Diceros bicornis minor: one gene and its partners. The protein of the gene in region 1 interacts with the protein of each later gene in a pairwise test. Links are inferred from orthologs where the notes say so. Each region holds a gene or a part of one and is shown on either strand. Other genes may lie near its edges. The genes, in order: TRIM41, TOP3B and CHD2.

Region 1 (7,908 bases):
TCAAGGTGTAAAAAATAACCTTGAAACCACAATTTGCAAACAAATCCGCAAGTATTTGTGCAACACTAAGTGTCAAAGTTGAAACTCTTGGAACACCAGCTTGTTTAGACTCATAAGTTCCCAGATAAGACTGCGGTAACAGTAACTCCCCAGGGTGGCCTGAGCAGAGCGGGGCTGGACTACTAGCAACTCTGGCTGTTTGACATTTTCTGACCAATTCCCGTCCAGACTGCCTTCACACAGTGTCATGTAAACCCTCCCTAACTCCCCGCTTCGATACACTTCCGAGACTGAGGCTTTGTATCGGCTTTGTATCGTTCGCTTAGCAAGGGAAATAAACCAGCTTTATATGATCAACAGACTTCTCTTGTGGTCTGCTGTGTATGTGGAGGAGACTTCTACAGATGAGAAACAGAAAACGGGCTGAATTTGCGGGACTAAGGAAACAGTTAACAGGAAGGAATGAATTTCAGTTGAAGTTCAGGAAGAATTTCTTGACAAGACGGGTAAACTGAGGATGTTCATGTTAGCGTGTTCCAAAATAAAGGACATTTTTACATTCCTTTATGTGTGGGGGGAAAAGTGGAGGCCGGATTGCGTGGGGCAACATTTTACAAAAAGATCGACTCTTAAAACTGAGAAATAGAATATACTGAAGACGAGGATCTCAGATTACCAGGGCACCTCTTTCTTGACCGGAAATCGAAACCGGGCGGCGGCGGTGAGAGCGCGGAATCTAACCTCTAAATCACAGAGTAAGGCGGTCGCGAATCGGGCGGCCCAGGTGTCGCCCCGGACACCCTGTCGTTTGGTAAACAGAAGGCGCCTAATACGTGTTGAACGTGGGTAGGCGGATTTCAGCAAGCGAAAAGGCGGCCTGAGGAGCCGGCTCCCAGGAATTTCTCCGCCGGCGCCTGCCCCTCACTCACTCCCCTCCGGCCAGGGAGGGCCTTAGGGCCGAACGCATTCCAATTCGAGGTCTTCCGCTCAGCTACGGGCGCCCACCGCTGGGGATGCGGAGGTCCACTAGCTCTCGGTCTCGAGAGGAGCTTGTTGTCTTCGCCATCTTCATTTCCAAAAAGGGTCACATCCAACGTGGGGCTCGAACTCCCAGATCTTGAGATTAAGGATCTGAAGTTCTACAGGCTGAACTAGCCTGACCACCTCCCCGCTCATCTGTGTTGTGTCCCAGGAGACCAAGATCCACGTGCAGGGAAGCAACTGCACGTGTATTATGGAGCGTCTACTGTATGCCTGGGTCTGTCCTAGAGACTAGAGCCGGGGGATCCGAAGACTATGCCCCTCGACTAGGAGAGGTGACCGTGGGGGCTTCCGAGGGCAAAGCAAGGGGTTAGCTGAGGCGCGGCCCCGAACTCACACTGAAGCATCTACAGTGCTATGCTGCGAGTGCGGCTCTCCCGCGATCCTGCTCCACTGCCCGTCTCCCTGAAACAGAGATACAGAGGGACACACACCCGTCCTTCCCTTCAGGTGATAGCCCCTCTCCCCCAGAGGCGAAGTGAGCAGATGACAACGGAAATCGAAGCGAGAGCAAAAGTTGTTTCCGCCCGGTTTCGAACCGGGGACCTTTCGCGTGTGAAGCGAACGTGATAACCACTACACTACGGAAACCAGCATGGCGGCGGGCCGCCTGACACGCACCGGACTCTACACAGGACGGGAACCGCAGGGCTGCGCGGGCCGGCCGAGCCGCGGTCACGCCTTGCGGCCGCACTCTCCCACACAGCAGAGCCACAGCTCCCGGGACGGCCTAGGACAGCCGTTCGCCCACGAGGACTCGTGCTTGGCGCGTGCAGACCAGCCCCTTAGTGGCGCGCGTCCACGCGCAGGCTCCCTCCGGAGCGAGGTCAGTTCGCGTGCCGGTTCTGGCATCGCGCGGCGTCCGGCACTCACTGGGCGCTCCGCACATGAGTTATGGTCCTGTAACTTCCCCCACGGTTTTTTAAAAAATTAAACAGTCATCTTGTTAAAAGCCTCAAGTATTTCTATCGCACAAATAATCTATGTCGCAGAGATGCTCTTGGTAGCACAGCGGCATCTTTCCCAATACCGTTCTACATCCCGGATAAGAGTCTCTCAAGTAAAATCAAACCCACAAACCCAACTTGAGTCCCTGCCCTTAGGCTGGGACCCCATGCAGACAGACCTGGAGGTATTTTGGGTGCAGAGCGCGCGTGGTGCACAGCTCAGAAAGTGCTGTATGAATCCATGACATTTAGAAAAAAAGTTTTCTTTTTTAATACATTGACTTGGTTCAAAATTCAAAAGATACAGAACGACATATACGAAAAAGTGTCCTTCCTACCCCGGACCCTCAGCCTTCCCAGAGAAACTCTGCTGCTAGGATTCTTCCAGACAGACGACAACGATGATAAAGGGTCGCTAAACCTTATATTACACTATGTGCTAAGCAACATTCTAGTCGCTTTGCATGACATTAATCTCACAAAACCCTCTGGACAAGCACTATTACCCTTATTTTACATGAGCACACACAGGACTATTAAGATATCAAATACATTTAACATTTTCCCCTCTTTTTCATAGATGGTAGTGTACTCTACACATCGTTCAGCACCTTGCTTTTTTCACTTAAGAATACATCTTTAAGAGGATTCCCATTTTACAGCTCGAGTGCTCCACGTTTGAACGTGCCGGTAACGACCTGTCACCAGTCTTTTACTGACGGGCAGTTGGGACGCGACAGCGACCGGACCGCAGCTTCTAAAACGGGTGTGGAAACGCCGACTACAGCTGCGAGGCGGGGGGGAGGAGGGGGGAGAAGAGTCGCAGGCCCCGCCCCTGCGCCGTCTCCGAGGGACGACTGAGTCCTCAAACAACAAAGTCCTCCGCCTAGAAGGGCCGGAAGTACTTCAGGGAGCTCACAGGGCCCGCCCCTCCGCTTCCGGCATGGGCTGCGGGGAGTCGCTGTTGCGACTCCGTGTCTGGTCAGTAGGATGGCGCCGCGCCGATGCGGTCATAGCACCGAGAGCGGAGGGCCACCAAGCGCTTCCACCGCCTTCCGAAGTTTGCCCCCAGTGGCAGGAGATGGAGGAGGCCGGTCCTTCTGTTTCGCCTGCGTTCCCCGCTCCCTTGCATCACCGAGACGTGGGCCTCCATCGTTCTAGCCCTCCTGTCCTGTTCCTGGGTGTCTGCTAGAGCGTCTCCTCGCCGTTTCCTGTCGCCCAGGGTCCCGGCGGGGGCAGAGAGGGAGAAGGGGGCGTAGCGCAACCGCGGAGGCAACTCGCGAGCTGCGGTGGCTCCCAGGCGCCGGAAGTGTTGGGAGGGAGGCCGGAAGTGAGGGGGCGGGGCCAGGAAGTGAGGGGGGGGCGGGGGTTTATAAGGAGGCCAAGGGAGCGTTAGGGCAGATTTGCACTCAGGGCCACTTGCGGGACTTGGCAGTGGCGCTCTGTTCTTCCCCTCCTCTCGCAGGGACACGGTTGTCGTCTGGGAGTAGGGTACTGTGTGTGGAGGGGTGGGTTGTTGGGAGGACATTTCTCTGGCTGCGCTTGAGGCAAAGTGTGAAGAGGCAGGGCTGGGAGTGGGGCCGGGTCGTCAGGGCGTCTGAGGGGGAAGACCCCCGACCCCCGCCGCCCGTCTACACTGGCTGACTGGACACTAAAATGGCTGCCGTTGCCATGGCACCCAACCCCGTGCAGACCCTTCAGGAGGAGGCGGTGTGCGCCATCTGCCTCGATTACTTCACGGACCCCGTGTCCATCGGCTGCGGGCACAACTTCTGCCGCGTGTGTGTAACCCAGTTGTGGGGAGGGGAGGATGAAGAGGACAGGGACGAATTAGACCGGGAGGAGGAGGAGGAGGACGGGGAGGAGGAGGAAGTGGAGGCTGTGGGGGCCGGTGGGGGGTGGGACACCCCCATGCGGGATGAAGAGTATGAGGGTGACATGGAGGAGGAGGTCGAGGAGGAAGAGGAGGGTGTGTTCTGGACCAGTGGCGTGGGCGGGTCCAACTGGGATAACATGGACTACGTGTGGGAGGAGGAGGACGAGGAGGAAGACCTGGACTACTACTTGGGGGACATGGAGGAGGACCTGAGGGGGGAGGATGAGGAGGACGAGGAGGAAGTGCTGGAGGAGGACGAGGAAGAAGAGCTAGAGCCCGTCACCCCACTGCCCCCGCCTCCAGCCCCTCGGAGGTGCTTCACCTGCCCCCAGTGCCGAAAGAGCTTTCCTAGGCGGAGCTTCCGTCCCAACCTGCAGCTGGCCAACATGGTCCAGGTGATTCGACAGATGCACCCAACTCCTGGTCGAGGGAGCCGTGGGACCGAGCAGGGCATTTGTCCCAAACACCAGGAAGCCCTGAAGCTCTTCTGCGAGGTGGACGAAGAGGCCATCTGTGTGGTGTGCCGAGAATCCAGGAGCCACAAACAGCACAGCGTGGTGCCATTGGAGGAGGTGGTGCAGGAGTACAAGGTGAGAGAAGTAGAAGAAGGGAGTTTAGTGGGGGTGGAGAGGAAGTAAGAGAAGCTAGGAAAGGAAACATGTCATCCTCCCAAAGAATCTCTTGTACTGATGAACTGATTCTTCTTATCCAAGGACTTACTGGCACCAAGGTGGGTTAGAGTGAGAAGGATCCTGTAAACAGACAAAGCATACAGTGAAGAAGACCAGGGAAGACTGGCTTCCTCAAAGTAAATTGGGCAAAGCTGGTGATGCCATATCACTGGGCTTCATCTCCTGGGGAAAAGCCACTGCTGTTTCACACTTCTACTGTCCCTAAGTGTAGGAGTGCAGATGACAGGCCGTAGGGCTTTACCACCAGTCTCATTTTCCTCTGGGTTAGTCTTAAGTCTTTGACTGAGACCTCTGGAGATGGGAAGAACTTGGGGCCTCAAAGAACAAGAAAGGGCTCTGAGGAGCAGGAGCATAGAAATGACCACTAGTGTCAGACACAAATGCTCTACACAGGCCTTCTAATGGGTATCCCACCCACCCCATGATATGGCGTGGTTCTCGCAGAGGATTTTTGTTGGATCTGCATCAGTCTGATGTACTGACCGGAACTTCTTCGCTGGGAATTCAGAAAAAAGGGAGAGGCTTATAAGTCAGAACACCTGGCTCTGAATTCACTCTGGCAAGTCTCTGAATGCCTTTGAACTTTAATTTCTCCAGTATTATTACCAAACACTTACTAAGCACTTTTCATGGACTATCTCATTTAAAACTCAAAACAACCCTGTGAGTTTGATATGCTGTTTCCATTTTACAGATTGGGAAACAGATATATACATAGGACCACACAGCTACTTGTAAGTGATGGACTTGGTTATGACCCCTTCTCCCCTGGCCTATATTGTTAACAATGTCACCACCATTTGAATGTCTGTTGTTAGTTTGACTTTTCTGACATGTGACTTTTCTTCTTGGAGTCTGATTTTAGTTTGGTTAATATCTTGCCCCCTACTTCTGATCCTGACTCTTTTTGGACATAAAGGAGATTTTTCTGTGAGACAGCCAGCACAAATAGCCATCCAGGACAGAACTGAGTGAAGGCCCAGATGGATTTGAAGCAGTGGGACCAGGAGGGGGAGAGGATAGCTGCTTCTGTGTGGTCTGCGCAGAGCTTTTTTTGTCTTATGACAATTGTAGAGTAACGTGTCTGGATCTGTGAGTGATACAGCTAAGACAGACCTACATCCCCTTATAACAAGTAACTATTTCTTCCACACACTAACTGTCAAACCTGGCTGATTATCCCAATAACTAGGAGATTTCAAAAGTACCCTAGGGATTCTGAATCAGTGACGAGGAGAATGTCTTTAGAAAGCCCTGCCTAGCATGGGAATCACTGCGTTGGTAACATCGCCTGCCTTTTAGGCCCTGCGTTATTAGGAGAGGTTGTGAGCTCCTTTAGTCCTTCCCTTTAATATTCCCTCGGTTAACTCAGTTCCTAGTTAACATCAATGTATGTTCACTTTGTTAACTGGATCCTGGGGTGGACTATCCATGGGCATTCTACTCCTTCTTCTCTACCTTCCTTCTGCAGGATTCTTCCGAAGAGCTTCTGAAATTGGATTTTAATTTATGTTAGCCACATCTATTGAATGCCACCCCAGTAGAGCTCTGCAATTTGGGGAGGCCATATGGACACAAATAATCTGATATTAACAGATCAGCAAATGTAAATATGTAAGTTTTATTATGTAGAACTAATTCAAGTGATGCCCTTTCCAACTTATAGGCTATTTTACAGGTAGGTAGTTTATTCTTTTCAGATACGTACACTAACTAGCAATAGCTTGGCACAGTGTTACTTTGTAGAAGTATTTCCTTATTGAATAGGTAATAACACACAAATGATCTATAAATGAAGCTCCTAAAAAGTTGAAGGTCTTTGAAAATTTCTCTTAAATAGTACTCTGTTTGGATATGTGCTTATGAACTTTTTGTCAACAATTTAGGAAAAATATTAAGTGGGAAATTTAAGCATCATGAATTCTGACTTAATAGAGTTGAAATTATTGACACTACTGGAGAAAAGTAGAAAGTAATATCAAAAGGTAAAATTTGGGGTAGTTTATACTATTTTCACATTATGGATTGATTGTAATCTTATTATTACTGTAATTTTTTTCTACAACCGCTTATCCTGTGCAACAACTGCCTTTTCTACTCTGGGTCAATAACCTCTTTAGTTCAAGGGTCATTATCAGGCTGTCATTGGCAGCCTAGGCCTAGACAGGGAATACTAGATGACATTTACTGATCTTTTGCTGTATGGCAGACACTGTGCTAAGCATACTGTCCATGACGTGGATTCTCTTATTCCCAATTCCCATCTTAAGATGAGGGAACTGGTAGCATGGCTTGCCTCAGGTCTGCGTTTAGGTTCAGGTTGGAGTGTAGGCTTGAGCTCTTCTGCCTTGTATTACCACTCAAGGAAAAGGAAGGAGAGGGCAGAAGTAGTAGAGGAGATAAAAAGGGAAAGAGCAGATAGGTCGGGCTTATCTCACCCTTACTGGTCTCTCTAACCGCCCTTCAAAGAAAAAGATCCTGCTACAGATGATTGGAACACACGGCTCAAGTGCATATTTGCTGTGAAGGTTAAAACCTTAGGAGGAGAGGGTTTTTGTTTTTCATTTAGCAAGTAGTTGAATGAGAGAGAAGGCAGATGGACGGAGAGAAGCATAGAAATTGAAATAAGTAAAGTGGGGCTCCTGCCCACAGGAGCCCCTGTGTCTTGGAGGAGGCACACTTGTAAATGATTACAGTGCCTGGCAAGTATTGTAAAGGTTGTATTCATGTTTCCTTGGATTACAGAGGAAGTTGGGGATGGTAAGGATCAGGGCCATGGTCAAGTAGCTGGGTTTTAAAGGAAGAATGCCTTGGGCCAAGTGGAAAAGGGCTATCTCAGACAGAAGGAACAGCGTGGATAAAGGTATGAAATTATACTCAGGAAAAGACAAGTAGTTTTATGTGGCTAAAACTAAAATTCTAGGTAGAAGGGGTAGGTGTAGGAGAGGAGGCTAGAAATGTAGTGGCAATGAGAGCCTCATATTTTGCAAGTGGTGGAGAACTACTGAAGGATTTTTAGCACAGGCACAAAATCATCAAAAGAGTAGAGATGGAAGTTATGAGGAAGAATGCTCATGAGGGGGAAGGGACCATAGGCAGGAATATTCATATGGAAGGACTTTGTGAGGTGAGGGGCTCAAGTGAGGTCCACCCCAACTCTGAGTGTGGGGCTCTGTAGTCAGCAGGATCCTATGTTTAGAGAACACGCCCAGGGCTTCTGTACATGAGTGCAGGTGGAGGGTTGGAGGCCTTTGTCATCATCTGAAGAGAAGAAAGGGGAAGAAGAGAGTATGATGCTCATTTGATACCTGTGATGGGGATCAGGCTTTGAGCCCCAAACCACTGCAGGGAG
Region 2 (7,908 bases), on another chromosome or scaffold:
GGAGCATACCATAGTCAGCCACAAAGGCAGAGATGCACAAGGAGCTGACGTAAATTAGAAGTAAGTACAAGAAACACAAAAATGCCTGAATTGATTTACAAAACATCATAGTGAGAAAAAAGAATAAAATTTACCGGCCGGCCCCGTGGCTTAGTGGTTAAGTGCGTGTGCTCCGCTGCTGGTGGCCCAGGTTCGGATCCCGGGCGCGCACCGATGTACCGCTTCTCCGGCCGTGCTGAGGCCGCGTCCCACATACAGCAACTAGAAGGATGTGCAGCTATGATATACAACTATCTAGTGGGGCTTTGGGGGGGGGGGAAGAATAAAATTTACCCAGCAGACAATGTCATCAGTGTGCTACAGGAGTCGGGAGGTTTGAGTCTCACTCCCCCTGGGGTCTGGAGCTCAGAACCATGCAGGCTCACCTGTGGTGTCATAGGAGTGACAGTAATAACTAGCCTTGTCTTCCACCTGGAGTCCGGCGATGGTTGGGAAGGCTGTGTTGCCCAACTTGCAGCCAAAGAACCAAGTTGAGATCCCTAAGGGCCGATTGTTGTTCTTGTAGATGAAGACTTTGGGGACCTGGCACATGCTGGTACCAGTTTGGGGCATATCCCCTGATGTTGCTGCTGCTTCCTGTGTAGCGTACTGTGACCATGTCTCCCGGGGAACCCCAGCACAGAGGCCAGCTGAGTCAGCACAGACTGGGCCCTGGAGTCTGGAAAGATAGAGAACGAGAAGGAGTGAGAAGCCCTGTGGCAAGTGGGTGAGAACTTGACTTCTGGAACCTGGCTGCCTAGTCGTGAAACCTGGCGCTGCCATTTACATCTGTGTGACCTGTTTCCTTATGTGTAAAATAAGGATAATAACAATAATACCTAATTCCTAGTGTCATGAGAATTAAATGTATTCATAATAGAAAAGTGCCTAGAACAGAGTAAGCGCTGGGTGGGTGTTAACTATTTACAGTGTTAGCAAGACCATGGCCCAGCCTATGCCCCACCAGAGAGAAGAGACCCAGGAGCTCTCAGGTGTCCCATCCACCACAACTAGGCGCCTGTGCATAAGTGAGGAGAGTGTAGGGGTTCCTCCCAACGGTGAGGAAGTCAAAGCGTTCCTCTGAATCTGGGTCATTTGTCAACATAAGTGTCCCCGGAATGGCCTGCCCCACAGCTCCCTGGGAGGTCTGTGGGGAGGACTCCCCAAGGGGCTCTCCAGGCAGCAGGGGAGCACAAGCAGCTGCAGTTTCCCAGCTCCGCGGAGAATACTCAGACAAGCAGGCTTCCAGAGCTGACCATTCAGCTCCCCTGCCAGGCCCAGGCCTCAGGTCCTCCTTCCTACTCTGTGGAATGAACCCCAGAGCTGGATTAAACAAGCAGTGGGGCTCTGGTCTTGCCTCTCTGCCAACTGGACATACTCTTCAGATCCAACCTTAGTCCTGGCTGCTGTCCGCCGGGGCCTGTGTGGAGAGCAGCCTGTAGGGCTCAGGGTGGGACCAGGAGGGAGATGGGACTTGGGTCAGTGTGGTGGCAGCTGAGGCCAGAAGGATTGATTGGATCTCAAATATGATTTGAAGACAGTGATGGATACCAAGTGAGAGAAAGAGAGGAATCCTGGAAGCCTTCAAGGCATTGGGCCTGAGCAGCCAGGAAGGTGAAGTTGCCGTCTTAGCAATGGAGAACCTGCCAAGGAGTGGGCTGGGAATCAGGAGTTCTGCTTTGAAAGGGAAATCTCACTGTAACTTAATTTTCTGCATTTCCCAACCTTAATTTGACCATAGAACTTTTCTTTTTCCAGACATCTGTCAGGGCTAGTATTCCAATAAAGACAAGTTGGGAACAGCATCTACAGGGAGCAAAGGAAACGTTTGTACGCTGTTATTTAAAAGATATTAAAATCAGGTCATGAAAATTATTTTTAACTTTCCATAATCTTAATGCTCTAACACAAAAAAGATTACTTTTATTTTCCAATTCATCTTCCAGATATATTTTACAGTTTATTTATTCATCCACAAATGTTTGTAGCATTGAAAGAAGCCTGCTCTACAAACATCTGTGGTTTGTTTTTCGGTTTTTTATTGTGGTAACATTGGTTTATAACATTATATAAATTTCAGGGGTACATTATATTGCGACTTCTGTATGGACTACATCGTGTTCATCACCAAAAGTCTAGTTTCCATGCGTCACCATACGTGTGTGCCCCTTGACACACACACACACACACACACACACACACACCTGTAACCACCAGTCTGCTCTCTGTTTATGCGTTTGTCTGTTGTGGTGGTGGTTGTTGTTGTTTTATCTTCCACATAGGAGGGAAATCATGCATATTTGGCTTTCTCCATCTGACTTATTTCACTTAGCATAATGCCCTCAAGGTCCAACCGTGTTGTCGCAAATGGCACGATTTCATCTTTTTTACGGCTGAGTAGTAATATACACACATCTGTAGTTTTTAATTATTTTAATTATTAACAGCATACACGTTTCCATGCTTATCATCTAGTTTTCATCATCATTGTAATGATGATTGTCATTATTGCCTCCGGGGCGGGGAAGAATGGGGTGGAGGGATTAGGGATCTCGGCAGATGCGGTGGGCAAGGGCCAACTCGGGGCGTGCTCCCGGAACGCGACAGCCACGGAACCCGCGGACGCAGGTGTGCGGGCACCGGCGGGGAAACGCGGGGACGCCAGCAGCGGCCCGACCCGGAAGTAGAGTTGCCGGCGGCCGCCGCGAGCGGAGCTGAAGCCGGAGCCGGGGTGGGGCTGCGGGTGAGCGGCGGGCGGCGGGCTCAGGGATGTGGGGAGCGCGGGCGTTTTCCACGCACCGGGGGCCGCCAGCCCCGCGGCTTGGGCGAGGGTCCTGGGCCGGGCTCTTTGCATTCTCGCCTCTTCCCCGGCGGGGTGGACCCCCCCGAACCCCGGGACTGGTTTGGGGGTTCAAGGAGGTGGCGATGGGCCGGCACCTGGAGGGAGCAGGCGCTGCAGTTAATACTTTTCTTCATCGAACCTCCCGCAGTTATTGAGAGGGGTCTGTTGCCCGGATTTGTTGTCACGGGTGGGGAAACTGAGGCTCAGGGAGGCGGTCGGTCCACGCAGGTCAAGGCAGGGTCCACGCCGCCCCGGAGCCCTGGCTCGGCCTCGAGGGCGCCCGGGCGTGTTTCTCTGAGTTGTTGATGTGGGTGAGAGGGTACTTTTGTGAACAGACGAGCGAGAATCCAGGGGCAGTCATTTCTCAGAGGTGAAAAGAAAGATGATGGCCTCGTCCTGCCTATTTGTCGCTCAGCCGTTGGGAACAGGAGGTGAAAATTCAGCCCAACCAGGGCTTGATGGCCCGTGAGCCCCGGGGGGGTCCCTAGAGACTTGGCAGAGGTCACCTGACACTAGTCTGAATTGTTCTAAACCTCAGTTTACTCCTAGTTGAAGAAATGAGGACACCGCCAGCCCTGTGGGCTTGTTGGCAGGATTCAGTAGAGTAGCGTTTAGAGCTATAGCGCTACAGACGACCTTAATTAAGAAGGTGTGGTTTCTTCCCCTCTTTTCCTGACTCCATAGGTGTCTGGTCAAGTTCTGAGGTGGGAAATCCTAGGGCTGTAACTTCTGTCGGCCCACTGCCAGGCCTGCACTCCGGAGCTGAGTCCACATGTTCATGAGGGCTGACTTGAAAGGACTTGATCTGCAGTGGCTCCCAGAAGGACTCCTACCGTTGTGGTTTTGCTGGTGAGAGTTGACAGGGTAATAACAGGCTTACCTGCTGCTCCCTTTCACTTTCAGCCCTCCTAATTACAGTCCCAATTTAGGGTGTTTGCTGTCAACATCCCCTTAGCACTTGCTAATCTCCCTTTTTGAAGTAAGAGGACAGATGTCAGGCTCAGCACTTTGGCAGGCAGCAAGATCAAACTTGATGTGTCATGTGGGTTACCGGAAGGAACCGAGTTCTGGCCATTGATTACAGGCTTTCAGTTCCTATGAGGCTATAAAATTTCCCTTTTCTATATATTTAAGCTTTTTTAAAAAGCAAAAACGGAAGTAAATAATAATGTTGGTAAGGCAAAGCAGTAAGATGGTGTATAAATGTTCTCACACCATTGCTTTCAGCTTTCCTGCTCATTGGCTTCCATTTTGAAATTGCAGATGTGCCTTAATGGAAAAATAGGGAGGCCTCAAGATTAATCACAGTTACGACTGCAGAAATCTTTTAAGAAGTAGAACCTGGTGCAGTTAAAAACAGTGTGCCTGGCTGGACGTAAGGAAGCATGAGTTTCAGCCCCAACTCAGCAAACTTCCTAGGTTACCTTTGGAAAATCCCTTTCTCTGAGTCTTAGTTTGTTCTTCCTTGAGATGGTTGTACCGGATCATCACCAAGATCCCTTTCCCAGGACTCCCTGATTCTGTATCCTTAAAGGAAGTGGTATTTATTTTCCTAATAAAACAGTGATACTTAGAAATTACAAAGTACTCATGCAGAACTGAAGTATAAACTGTTGAACTAGAAGGTGTGTTTTGCCACATATCAAATGTGGACTAGCCGCTGCACAGCCTGGCAGTGGACAGGTGATCTGAAGCTGGGCATGATGCTGACGTGCTTTTGTGTGCACTGTCCAGTTGTATCCCTAGTCCTAGATAAATGAGGTAATCCCTTTGAAGATGCTAGGGCAAAATGTTTCTCTGGAAAGGGATCTTGAGACAAGAATCTGTTGAGCTCCTTCTTGGAAGTGGGAGTGCGGGGATGTGAGGTATTGCCCGGTGGCGCCTGTAGAGCTTGCTCTGGGTGAACTTGCGGCACCCACGTTTGAGTTCCCTGTCCCTACACCGTCATTCGCACGTGTGCTAGACATGGGTCTTTGCTGGGGAGAGAAACTCAAGACCGCTCGAGCTCTAGCTTGCTTTGATGAGTATTGTTGGAATTATTTCCTATTACAGAGGGCTAATTTCCTTATTATATAAACCACTCCAAAAATAAGATAACAACCATCAAGTTGACAAAAATGGGTAAAAATATGAATAGACAGTTCACAGAAAAGGAAGCCAAATGCTTTTAAACGTGAAGTGTGCCTCTGAATGTTGAGGGACTTAGGTGTTTGTCTTTTTCATACTAAAGTTCATATTTTCTAGTTTCATTTTTTTATTTAAATCTTTGCTAGAAATTGGAATCTGTTTTGGTGGAAGTTATAAAATAGGTGTCTGACTTTGTTTTTCTTACCATAAGGTTGCCCGGTTGTCTCAATACAAGTCTTTTTCTTATACAGTGCTATGTTTGTCAATGTCGGTGCCATACTTACAACAATCAGAAAGACAGAAAGGGTTCATATGTTTCTTTCACTCAGCCAGCGGGTATTAAATGTCCTCTGTCAAGCTCGAAACCAGCTGTTGAATTGCCAACAGTGATTCAGACATCAGGCCACTCGTGTGCAGCAGGAAGAAGAGGCAGTGACCAACCGTGGCATGATGGGCAGAGGGTTGTAAGGAACGGCCAGGAGGAAAGGATTCATCCCGCCGGCGGGTGTAGAGAGAGCTCTTTGAAGAAGAGTTAGCACTTGAGCTGGGCCTTCGGACAGTTGATCTGCATTCTCCAGGCTTGGCAAAACATTCCAAGCAAAGGGAACAGAGGCTTGAAAATGTGTTTTTTCTTTAGACGCTGCTGTCCAATTTAATTGGCCAGAGCATGGCTTGCAAAGTGAGAGGTGGAGTGGGGCGGGCGGGAAGATGAACTAGAGCCTGTGAAGGGCCTTGAAAGCTCTGCTGGGGACCAGATCCCCTGGCCAGTGGGTCTCAGGCCCAGTGGTGGGTCAGAAGGACCTGGGAGCCTGACCTGGGCATCTCCATTTAGAACAGCATCCCAGAGCACCCTGATGCTTAGGTGAGGTGGAGGTGCCGCTCTCCGCCCCAGGGAGTAAACAGAAGTACTGCACAGAGGAGGGCAGGGCATTCACCCTACCCCAGCCCCTTGGTCCGGGTCTAAAGGCCCAACGTCTTCCTAGCATGGATTTGGGAACAAAATTGACCTGAGGTCATGGGGCCACCTCAGCTTTTCCCAAATGAAGCCAAATTCCCAGGGTCATCTCTGAGCCAGTTCAGTTGACCTGACCAGTTGTTTGTATGTTAGATGTCTCCAAAGTTCCCTAATTTTTTTTTTTCTTGCCTCAGGATTATTTTTTCACTTTTTAAAGTGAGTTTCCTTGTTAGTGGTATAAGTTCCACTGGAAGCATTGCTATTTTCTGTGTGTGTTTTCTTCTCTTTAGGGGTCAGTGTTGACAGTGGTATTGAGCTGCAGGAGAGCAGTTTCTGAACTTCTTCATCGCCATTTCCCTGAAACTGGAGTGTGGAGGCCAAGGGTCCTGCCAGCTTTAAGACAGGATGAAGACTGTGCTCATGGTTGCAGAAAAGCCGTCCTTGGCCCAGTCCATTGCCAAAATCCTCTCTCGAGGTAGGGAAGACCAACCCCAGCGTTCTGTATGGCTTTGATCTGTAAGCCTCGTTGTTTCTACTTTACACATCATTTCTTTCTTTCTCCGAAGTGTGACTTCAGCCCGCTGGAGTAGATTCCATTCAGGACAGCAGGCGTTACTGAAGCACCTTGGTGTTAGTCACTGTGGGTGCATTTACTGCCATAGCCAGCATGAGCCAGGCCTGGGGCAGGCACAGTTCACAGCATAGGGGCAGGCAGGCGCCGATGGCCACTGGTCAGAGCACTGTCTGGTCAGGGTTGTTGGTCACAAGCAGCAGAAACCAGCCTTGGTAACTTAGAAAGGGAATTCACTAGAAGGAAGAAGACACAGCCGGGACACCACCCCAGTCTAAGTCTGACAAGGCCATGGCATCGTCACCACAGGACCCTTGCCACTGCCCTGGACCCTTGACAGTGGCAATTGCAGCCCACGCACCTTGTGTCCCTTGAGAGCAGCCCGAGACACCAAGGCACTGGGAAAGGGATCGTCTGCCTGCACCCCCATTCTGTCCACTGGGGTGGGTGGTGGGGTGCTGCTTCCCCTCCTATCTCTGAATTCCCTCCAAATAGGAAGGTGTTTGCATGCTGGGTACCCAGAAATGGCAGACATCTGCCTTGACCTCCCCTTGGTCCCGTGGCTGAGGGAGGAAGAGACCCTAGGACAGCAGGCTAGGGTCTCTCCGAAGGGGAGAGAAGAACTGAGATGTGCCCAGGCCCAGAGGCTGAGAAAGTTGGGCTCTTTCTAAGGGGCCGTCGGTCGGGAGCATGAGAAGACACCATGGGATTCAATAATTAGGCGGTCCCTGGGGACCTGTGAGTACAGTTTGAAAGAAGTGAGGCAGAAGTGCAGAGAAAGAACCCAAGAGTGTTCAGAGGGGGCGCTCCTGGCCCCTCGCCGACCCAGAGCCTACTGTGCTGGGTTGGCTACTATAGCCAACCCAGCTGGGATGGTGTTTTCCTGGAGAACCATTAGATCTCACAGCACCTAACTACCCGCAGTGGCCTGAGGAGTGTTATCACTTAGCGCTCTGAGTAAAGGGTTTCTGGCCCTCCGAGAGGCAGCATCAGGGCCTGGGGCCTCTGCAGCGGCCACAGCTCACTGGAGCAGCCATCACCACGTTTCTCCTCCCCAGGGAGTATGTCCTCACACAAAGGGCTGAACGGAACATGCTCGGTGCACGAGTACACCGGGACCTTCGCGGGCCAGCCAGTCCACTTCAAGATGACATCTGTCTGTGGTCATGTGATGACCCTGGATTTCCTGGGTGAGCCCCCTCAGTCTCCCTGCCTGCCCTCCATTCCACTGAGGGAAGCCCTGCACGGTGCTGCCCAGGCTCCAGTTGGAGAGAATTTTGTCCAGTATCCATGAGTTGTGAGGCCAACAGATTGTGGAGAGGTGATCCAGTGTCCCTGGGTGAGGCGCCTAGAACCCAGGCTTTGGTCTCAGTG
Region 3 (7,908 bases), on another chromosome or scaffold:
GTTACCAGTGTTAGAGTAATTTACAGAAGAACTGTCAAATACCAGAACTGTCAAATACCAGGAAGGTCTACTCCTGAATACACTGATCAATTCTGCAATGTTAGAAGTACAGCCATTTTTTGAAAAATTCAGAAAAATTCAAAGAATACAATTAAAGTTTTAAATAAGATATGGTTAAAATCCTGTTTACGCCTTCTCCTTGTCACTTTCATGAAATTGGCATATAAAAACATTGGCATTTTGAAAACGTGTATGGTTCACGTAATGTGTTTTGTTTTAAAAATATAGTTTTGAAATTGTCATGTTGATATTTATAGATCTAATTCGTCCCTATTCTAACTATTGTAGTTAATTGCATAGTATGACTATTCACATTTTATTTTTAGATTTTCATACATGCACATTTAGATTATTTCCTTTTTTTGATCTTATGAGCAGGGCTCTAAACATTTTTATACTTCCCACCTCCTCACGAATTTGATAATTTGTTTAGGTTATACACCCACAGATTGGATTGCATGATTCGTATGCATATTTTGAGGTTTACTGGATAATGCCAAGTTGCTTTCCAAAGCCTCTACTGATTACTTTTTCAGTAATGGTATATGAGTACTATTTTCCCCACTTTCTCGCCATCATTTAGTATTATCAGACTTTTTAATTTCTGCAGAGCAGATGAGTGTAAAATAATCTGTTGTTTAATATACACTTCCCAAATTACCGTAGAGGTTTAATTACCTTTTCATAAGTTTATTGGCCATTTCAGTTTCTTTTCTGTAGTTGCATGTCCATTTCTTTGGCCCGGTTTTCTATTTGATTTTTCTTTGATACGTAATTCTTCATGTGTTGTATGTATAATTCTTTTGTTGTGTGTACATTGAAATTTCTTTTCTCAGTCTGTTACTTGTCTTTTACCCTTGTTTATAGTGAAGCTTATTCTTTAGAATCATAGGACTTGAACCAGAGGTGGAGAGGGTCTTAAAGATGCAGTTACATTTATTTAAGGAACTAGATCCAGTATTCTGTATCAATAGGAAACTCATGACTTAATGATCTTTGCCTTTCTGTCCTCTTAAGACACACATAAGGGATTGAAAAGGAATTGTTCTGCATCAGCCCTGGGTGGTTTGATAATCTGTTTAACTGAAGAATGTATGTATGATGGGGACAGCAATACCACTCAGGTTAATAGTGTGGATCCCATAATTCAGACTGTGGGGGTGGGGGATGACATCATATACACACTCTTGGGTTAAGCCCCTTCTGTAAAATGAGGATAATTTGTCTTATAGGGTTGTCGTAGGAGAGGAGAATTTCTGCATATACCTGCTATATAAGTACTCCATAAATATTAGCTCATTGATAGAGCTTAGTCTGGAAATAAGTTTTATGGAATTCCAGTGTAGATTGCTTTGCATTTTTACCAGATTTTGCTTTCACCACCACCACCACCAACAAAAAAACATGCTCTGCCAAGCAGTGCTGCCATTTTGTAAGTTTAGGAAGATCACCACCACCCAAGTGCTGAAATGGCAGCTATTGGGCAGAGAACCCACAGGCTTGCTCTTTTAAGAGAAGTGTTGCTGTGCCGCCCTCTTGTGGCCACTTGGAAAACGGCAATTAAAAATTAAAAAGGGAGAAGTAGTTGTTAATCCTGCTTGCTTTGAAAGTCCACTTGTAAAGAATTCTTAATCACTTCATTTTTGCCTACTTCAAAAAGGATTTTGAAGATATACCAAATCCTTATCCACAACTGAAAAGAAGTGTTAAACTTTTTTTATAAGCATTTATTTTCTTTTGGAATATAAAAATCTCAGTTTTGACTTGAGTCCTTTTTATTTTTGCATTGTATTTCCCTTGTAGTGATTGCAACTTAGATTTTGAGTAATTTTCAGATAAATTTCTTTTTCATGAGGATTCTACATGGTAGATAATGATTGCTGAATATTCCATTTTTAATTGCCTTATAATTATTATGCCATTGGAAATCAGGTAATTTTATTACTTTTTGGTTATGCGAAAGCTTAGTTAAAAGACTCCTCATTTGCTAACTCTATTTGACGGTTTTTGTTAGAGTCTTGTGGATTTTCCACATTGTCTTCTCTAGGTCACCATTGCAAACTACAATTTAGTTTAAATAGTATTTAGTATTATAATTAGGCATTAATAGCAAATTTGCATAATATTTCAGGAAATATTCTATCCTTTGAGAGAATAATTAGACTATCAGTGCCTTAAATATGGAGGTATTTATCGTTTTTTTTTTTTTAATATTCCTTTTCCATTTCAATATTTAGGAACTTGTCCTCCTAGGAGAAGTATGCAAATTAATTGTTATGCCTTTATTAAGAATCTTTTTAAAAAACCGTTTTCCTCTGAATATTATTTTAAGTCTATTAAATTTAACTTACTGGTTCGAAAAATAAACACCTATGAAATAACACCTATAAAAAAGAAACACCTATAAAAAAATAATTAAAACCTAGTCCTACTCTCATTCAAATCTTTAGCTCGTTTTGTGGAGGATTGGGTGTACTTACATCCCTTGCCTTGGATTTGACTCTTTTGGTTGGATTTATTAGCTATTTTAAACATTAAAAAGATTAATACTTACATAATGAACACCGATGAACTCACCACTCAGCTTCAGTCATAAAATATCACCAATATCATTCTCTGATCACATCTGCCTCCCTCATTGCTGAAAATTCCCCCAGAGGTAAATACAGTTGTGAATGTGGTGTTTGTTTTTTCCTGGGTTCGATTTTCATAGTAAGTTGTGTTTTTTTTTTGGAATTACACAAGTAGTTCATGAGATCCACTAGTATACTTCAAATAACCCATCCAAGAGAATAAACCCCTGTTAGCAATTTAGTGATTAAAATGTGTTTATGCACATAGATATGTGCTGATAGAAATATGGCTGTTTTTTACCTAAAATGTACTGTATGTGTTGTTACATGTCTAGAGGTCGCTCTCCTACACCAACTGGGAAATACAGAGCTGCACAAGAAGACATGTAAAAGGTTATTTATAATTTTATTGGTTTACGGTGAACAATTTGGAAATCTAAATATTCTACTCAGAAATAGAGAAATATGGAAGTGTATCAAGGATATTTGTAGCTTATTGGTTAAGTGAATAACTTGAAAATAACCTAAAAGTCTCATTAATAGGGGACAGACTAAATAAAATGTAGCATATCATACTATGAGGCAGTTCGAAGGGAGTGAAATGTTTAGACATTTACATGTACTCTGACATGGGTATTGGCATTGGACATTTCCATTATATCGGCAATGATTACTGCTTTTCAGCACAAAACACTATAAGGATTTCTAGCTAACCAAACTGTTGTAGTTAACTTGAGCAGACCAACTCTGCTTTTTTTGTGGCTTTCTGGTTCTTTAAGTTTGTAGTTGAAGATTTTCTATCTTGTTGGAATGTTTTATGTTTCGTGGCAACCATACTGTGGTCCTGTGACAATTTTAGTTGGTGGTGATTGCAAAAATGTGATTCTAAACTTCATCTCTTGTCTGGAGTTAAGCATTATAGTAGTTAAAAAACTAAACCATTCATTTCAAAAGGATTTCGAAAAGATTGCATATTCTAGCAAAGTCACTTAAGTCCCCCTGTCCATTCTTTTCTTTAGTATACCAGGCATGGGGAACATCAAAGACTACGACTTAGCTCTCAAGTCTTTTGGGGAGGTGAACAAATTACTTGTATAAAATGGAACAAATGGGAGGCAAAGTAGTGTAGATGTTAACAGCTGGGGCTCTGGCGTCGGTCTTCTAGGCCAGGATGTGTGTCATTGCTAAAAGTGAGGAGAGTCAGCGGAGTATGGTGGTTGCAGCTCAGACTCTGAAATGAGGCTGCCTATTTTCAATTTCCAGTGGTAGTAACTGCTATGACAGAGATGCTATAATGGAGTATTATGGAAGTACCTCATAGGCACAAAGTTTAGGATTGGAAAGTGCAAAGGATGTTTTCCTAGAGAAGGTAATACCTGAGGCCTCAAGAATTAGAGAGGTATTTAGCTTTAGGTGGAAGCAGAGGTTGGAGATGAGCAATACTAGGGCTTACTTTCTGCTCTACAAGTAGTTCAGAATGGCTGGAGCAGTGAGAGTAAGGAGAAGGAATGGTTAAGAGATGAGTCTTGAGAAATTGGCAGAGGCCAGGTTTCACGGGGCATGCTGAGATTGGATGTTACCAGTGCCCATGCCCAGGGTGGCTGGAGGATGTGGGCAGCACTAGCTCCCTAATCTTTCAGGCTTCTCCAAGTACTTAGCTGCTTCCGCTATATAAATGTAGCTTCCGGGTATATCCCTAACACCTTTCAAGTAGACTGCCCTTTCTAAATTCCTTACTTATAAGGAAATTCTGGTGCTGCCTCTACGTTTCTGTCAGTGAGCAAATGGTGGAGGCAAAACAAACAAATTGCAACTAGCGCCATGGATTGTGTGGTACTGTCTCACCAATGCGTGCCAGCTGGGAAGGACTTTATGTTAGAAGGGGAATCTGAGCTTGAATGTGAAATTCTGAAATTTCTAATGTTTGGGTAAGGCTTTGGCATTTGTAGAGTGCTGCTTTCATTTATCGTTTGATGCTCTCATGACCCTACAGGTACAGTCACAGAGGATGGCACAGGTTAAGAGATGGCACAGGCCTGAGATGATCTAGGACTGAGATCCAAGCCGTGGATACCAGAGCCTGCACTTTTTAACTGTACTATCCAGCCTTCCTCTTTCTTATCTCTTGCCTGGTGACCACCTTCTGATTGGTCATAGGTGGAGAATAAATGACTTAAGATGCCTTAGTCACCTGGACTAGTCCACTTTAACTGTGCAAAGGGCCAAGGAGTGAGGAAGTATAAGGAGGGCCTGAAAGTGTTGAGCCACAGTTAAGGATGTCTGACTGGTTTTGGACATTGTCTATCAGGAGTAACATTTATTTTTTGAATCTCTTAAGATTTTGAACCCCTGTGGTAAAATAGAAAGAGTACGGGCTTTAGAGCCAGGCTTGGGGTGGAATCCCTGCCCTAACCCCCAAACCCCCTTTCTAGTTTTGTCATTGACTAAGTTACTTAAAACAGCTGTTTTTTCATTCTGCTCATGGTGATGATAATGCCTAATGGTGTTGTCATGGGGAATAGGCAAAATAATACATATAAAGTACTTAATGCAGTGCTGGGTACCTATTCGATGATCAGGCAATTAATAAATGGTTTTTCTCTTCTCTGCCCCCTCCCCCCCCATCATTCTCACTGCTTCCTCATCTTAACTGAAAGGCCCCTGAACTGTAATGTGCTTACTTACTATGGATCACATGGGACTTTTGGGTCGATGCCAGTTTCCAGTGTACTGCCAGGTTGGTTCTGTGGGCGTGTTTGTCAAGTGATATGACCTCATTCCTAGCTTGGAAGATAACAGTGGTGGTAAATATGAAGCCTCCCTTCTTGACCCTTTCTGGCTTCATGCCATGTCTCTTTCGTTTCCTGGTTGCTAAACTCAAGGACTTTTCTGTTAAGTTAATGTTCCTCTGGGTTGCAGGTTGCCACTTGCCTCCCTTTCTCTGCTCTGCCGCTCCTAAATGAAAAGGTAGTTTTTAAGCGAAAGAGTTGAGTGAGCTGTCCACGTCTTTTCCTGTAGCATCCATCAATTTGAAGTCTTTTCTCTTTCAAGTATCTTCACTCCTACCAGCATGCCCCTGAATTGCTTTTTCACTACTGAGAACAGGGGGGGTGTATTCCCTTCTCAGCTCCCAAGGTTGATATTTTATCTTCCCACAGCTTTCAGTTGTTTCAGCTTTCATTGCCTACTTAGGTTGCTCTTTCCTGAGGGGTGTTCGGAATGAGAAAGGGCGGGGATGCAGTTTTTATTGGATTAGTCATTCACAGTCAAATCAGAGTGCTGTTTTTGTTTATTTTGTTCTCTTAAGTCTACTAGTTGTAGCACTCACTGCAGGAGATTCCAAGGCAGGACCTCTGGTTTGGGGTTAATGTGTATATGTTTTTATGTAGCTCTCCAGATGAGCCTAATTTGCACCTGTTGTTGAGAACCACTGATTGGATAATTGCAACCAGATTGCATTCTTACCCTTTGGGTAACTCTGCCCTGGTTTGGTTTTGTTCTGTGTTGGTTTTTTCTTTCCCCTTTTGATTTTGTTTTTGTCTTGAGGAGGGAGGGACTGATACTGAACAAGTAAGACTTAGTGGATGCAGACAGATCGGCTTGGTTTCAAATCCTACCTGTGTCATCTTTGGAGAGTTACTTAACTCCTTCCAAGCTTCAGTTTTTCCTCATCTGAATGAAGGAGAAAATAATATCCCCCTTCCTAGTTTTTGTAAAGGAGCTAATCTATATAAATTAGCTGGTAAATGGCATCATGTAAGCACTCAGGAAATGGTAGCTATTAGGGATGTTGAGAATGATAGTAATGACATTATTTGTAATATAAGAACATAAAAGTGAATTTGAAAATATTGATCCTGTATTACCCAAATTACTATCTACTGTCATTTTACTGCTAGGATTTTTTTTTTACAGATTCATGTGGCAGTTTTTAAATCTTTTTTTTTTTTTTTTTTTTTTTTAATTAAGTCATTCAGCATCTGAAGAAGCTTCGGGTTCAGACTCAGGCAGCCAGTCAGAGAGTGAGCAGGGCAGCGATCCAGGAAGTGGACATGGCAGCGAGTCGAACAGCAGTTCTGAATCTTCAGAGAGTCAGTCGGAATCTGAAAGTGAATCGGCAGGTTCTAAATCTCAGCCAGTCCTTCCAGAAGCCAAAGAGAAGCCAGCCTCTAAGAAGGAACGGATAGCTGATGTGAAGAAGGTATCTGCTTTGCTGTACAGTGCAAATGTACTGCCAGCGAGGACCAGCTAGCAGACCTTTATTTCCCATGGAAATCTCATTAGTATATCTTGATAATGAAAACTACAGCCACCTCTTCTGATAATGGACTGTGTATGGATGTAAATGCAGACTGCTCTCTGCTTTACCAATTGATATAGTGGATACAGGGCTATAAGGAAAACCATTACATGAACCATCAAATTATAGGACAGAAAAACAAATTTTTTATAGTTTTGGTTTTTAACTTTTAAAAAAGGCAGTCAAAATTATTTTTTTGTACAATACTGAATAATACCGGAGGGAATCATTGACAGATGATTGTTGAATGCAATTGTAAAGTTTAGCGATGGATAATTGTAATCCAAGAATAAGGGCAGTTTTTGTTACCTGAATAATGGAAGAGAAATACTTCCCACAGAAAAAATATGATCTGTACCTAGGCAGTGTAGGTATTCTTTGTTTAACAGAGAAGAGTCTTCCAGCAAAGAATGCAAAAAGGCAAAAATTGAGTTGCATAGCGTTTTCTCATTGATGCCCTTACTTAGGGATGCATTCCTTTTGGGGAGAAATTAATGACTTGGTCTAATTAATCATAAGAATGCAGCTCATCTTTTAAAATTCCATTTTGAAACCATTATGTTTGAATCACTGAAAATACAGAAGAATGTTTCTTTTAGAAATCTAAAAATAAAATGTCTTAATGAAATTAAGAGCTCTATGCTAAGTCAGTTTTTATTCTTTTTTTTTCATGAGGAAGGTCAGCCCTGAGCTAACATCCATGCTAATCCTCCTCGTTTTGCTGAGGAAGACTGGCCCTGAGCTAACATCCGTGCTCATCTTCCTCCGCTTTATATGGGACACCGCCACAGCATGGCCTGACAAGCAGTGCGTCAGTGCGCGTCCGGGATCCGAACCCGGGCTGCCAGCAGCGGAGCGCACGCACTTAACTGCTACGCCATGGGGCCGGCCCCCGGTTTTTATTCTTTTAAGATAACAAATCTACATCTGTGCACTCAGATTTTCATAGTAGTACAAGAGTACAAGTAGTACTCA

What was found.
Region 2: the proteins of TRIM41 (region 1) and TOP3B interact in binary tests that used the Homo sapiens proteins (3 or more experiments, as listed by UniProt). The two-hybrid records come from large-scale screens. The link is inferred for Diceros bicornis minor from reciprocal best matches to the Homo sapiens genes TRIM41 and TOP3B.
Region 3: the proteins of TRIM41 (region 1) and CHD2 interact in binary tests that used the Homo sapiens proteins (3 or more experiments, as listed by UniProt). The two-hybrid records come from large-scale screens. The link is inferred for Diceros bicornis minor from reciprocal best matches to the Homo sapiens genes TRIM41 and CHD2.

Annotation. Positions count from the first base shown.
Region 1 is NC_080740.1:94,207,836-94,215,743, forward strand, and holds the start of TRIM41 (E3 ubiquitin-protein ligase TRIM41), read left to right. Parts: upstream 1-3,633; 5' UTR 3,634-3,644; coding exon 3,645-4,454; intron 4,455-7,908.
Region 2 is NC_080774.1:30,420,377-30,428,284, reverse strand, and holds the start of TOP3B (DNA topoisomerase 3-beta-1), read left to right. Parts: upstream 1-2,661; 5' UTR 2,662-2,782; intron 2,783-3,565; exon of another isoform or gene 3,566-3,745; intron 3,746-6,253; 5' UTR 6,254-6,368; coding exon 6,369-6,438; intron 6,439-7,592; coding exon 7,593-7,724; intron 7,725-7,908. UniProt on the Homo sapiens protein: Releases the supercoiling and torsional tension of DNA introduced during the DNA replication and transcription by transiently cleaving and rejoining one strand of the DNA duplex.
Region 3 is NC_080744.1:87,826,598-87,834,505, reverse strand, and holds the start of CHD2 (chromodomain-helicase-DNA-binding protein 2), read left to right. Parts: upstream 1-2,459; 5' UTR 2,460-2,919; coding exon 2,920-3,026; intron 3,027-6,602; coding exon 6,603-6,834; intron 6,835-7,908. UniProt on the Homo sapiens protein: ATP-dependent chromatin-remodeling factor that specifically binds to the promoter of target genes, leading to chromatin remodeling, possibly by promoting deposition of histone H3.3.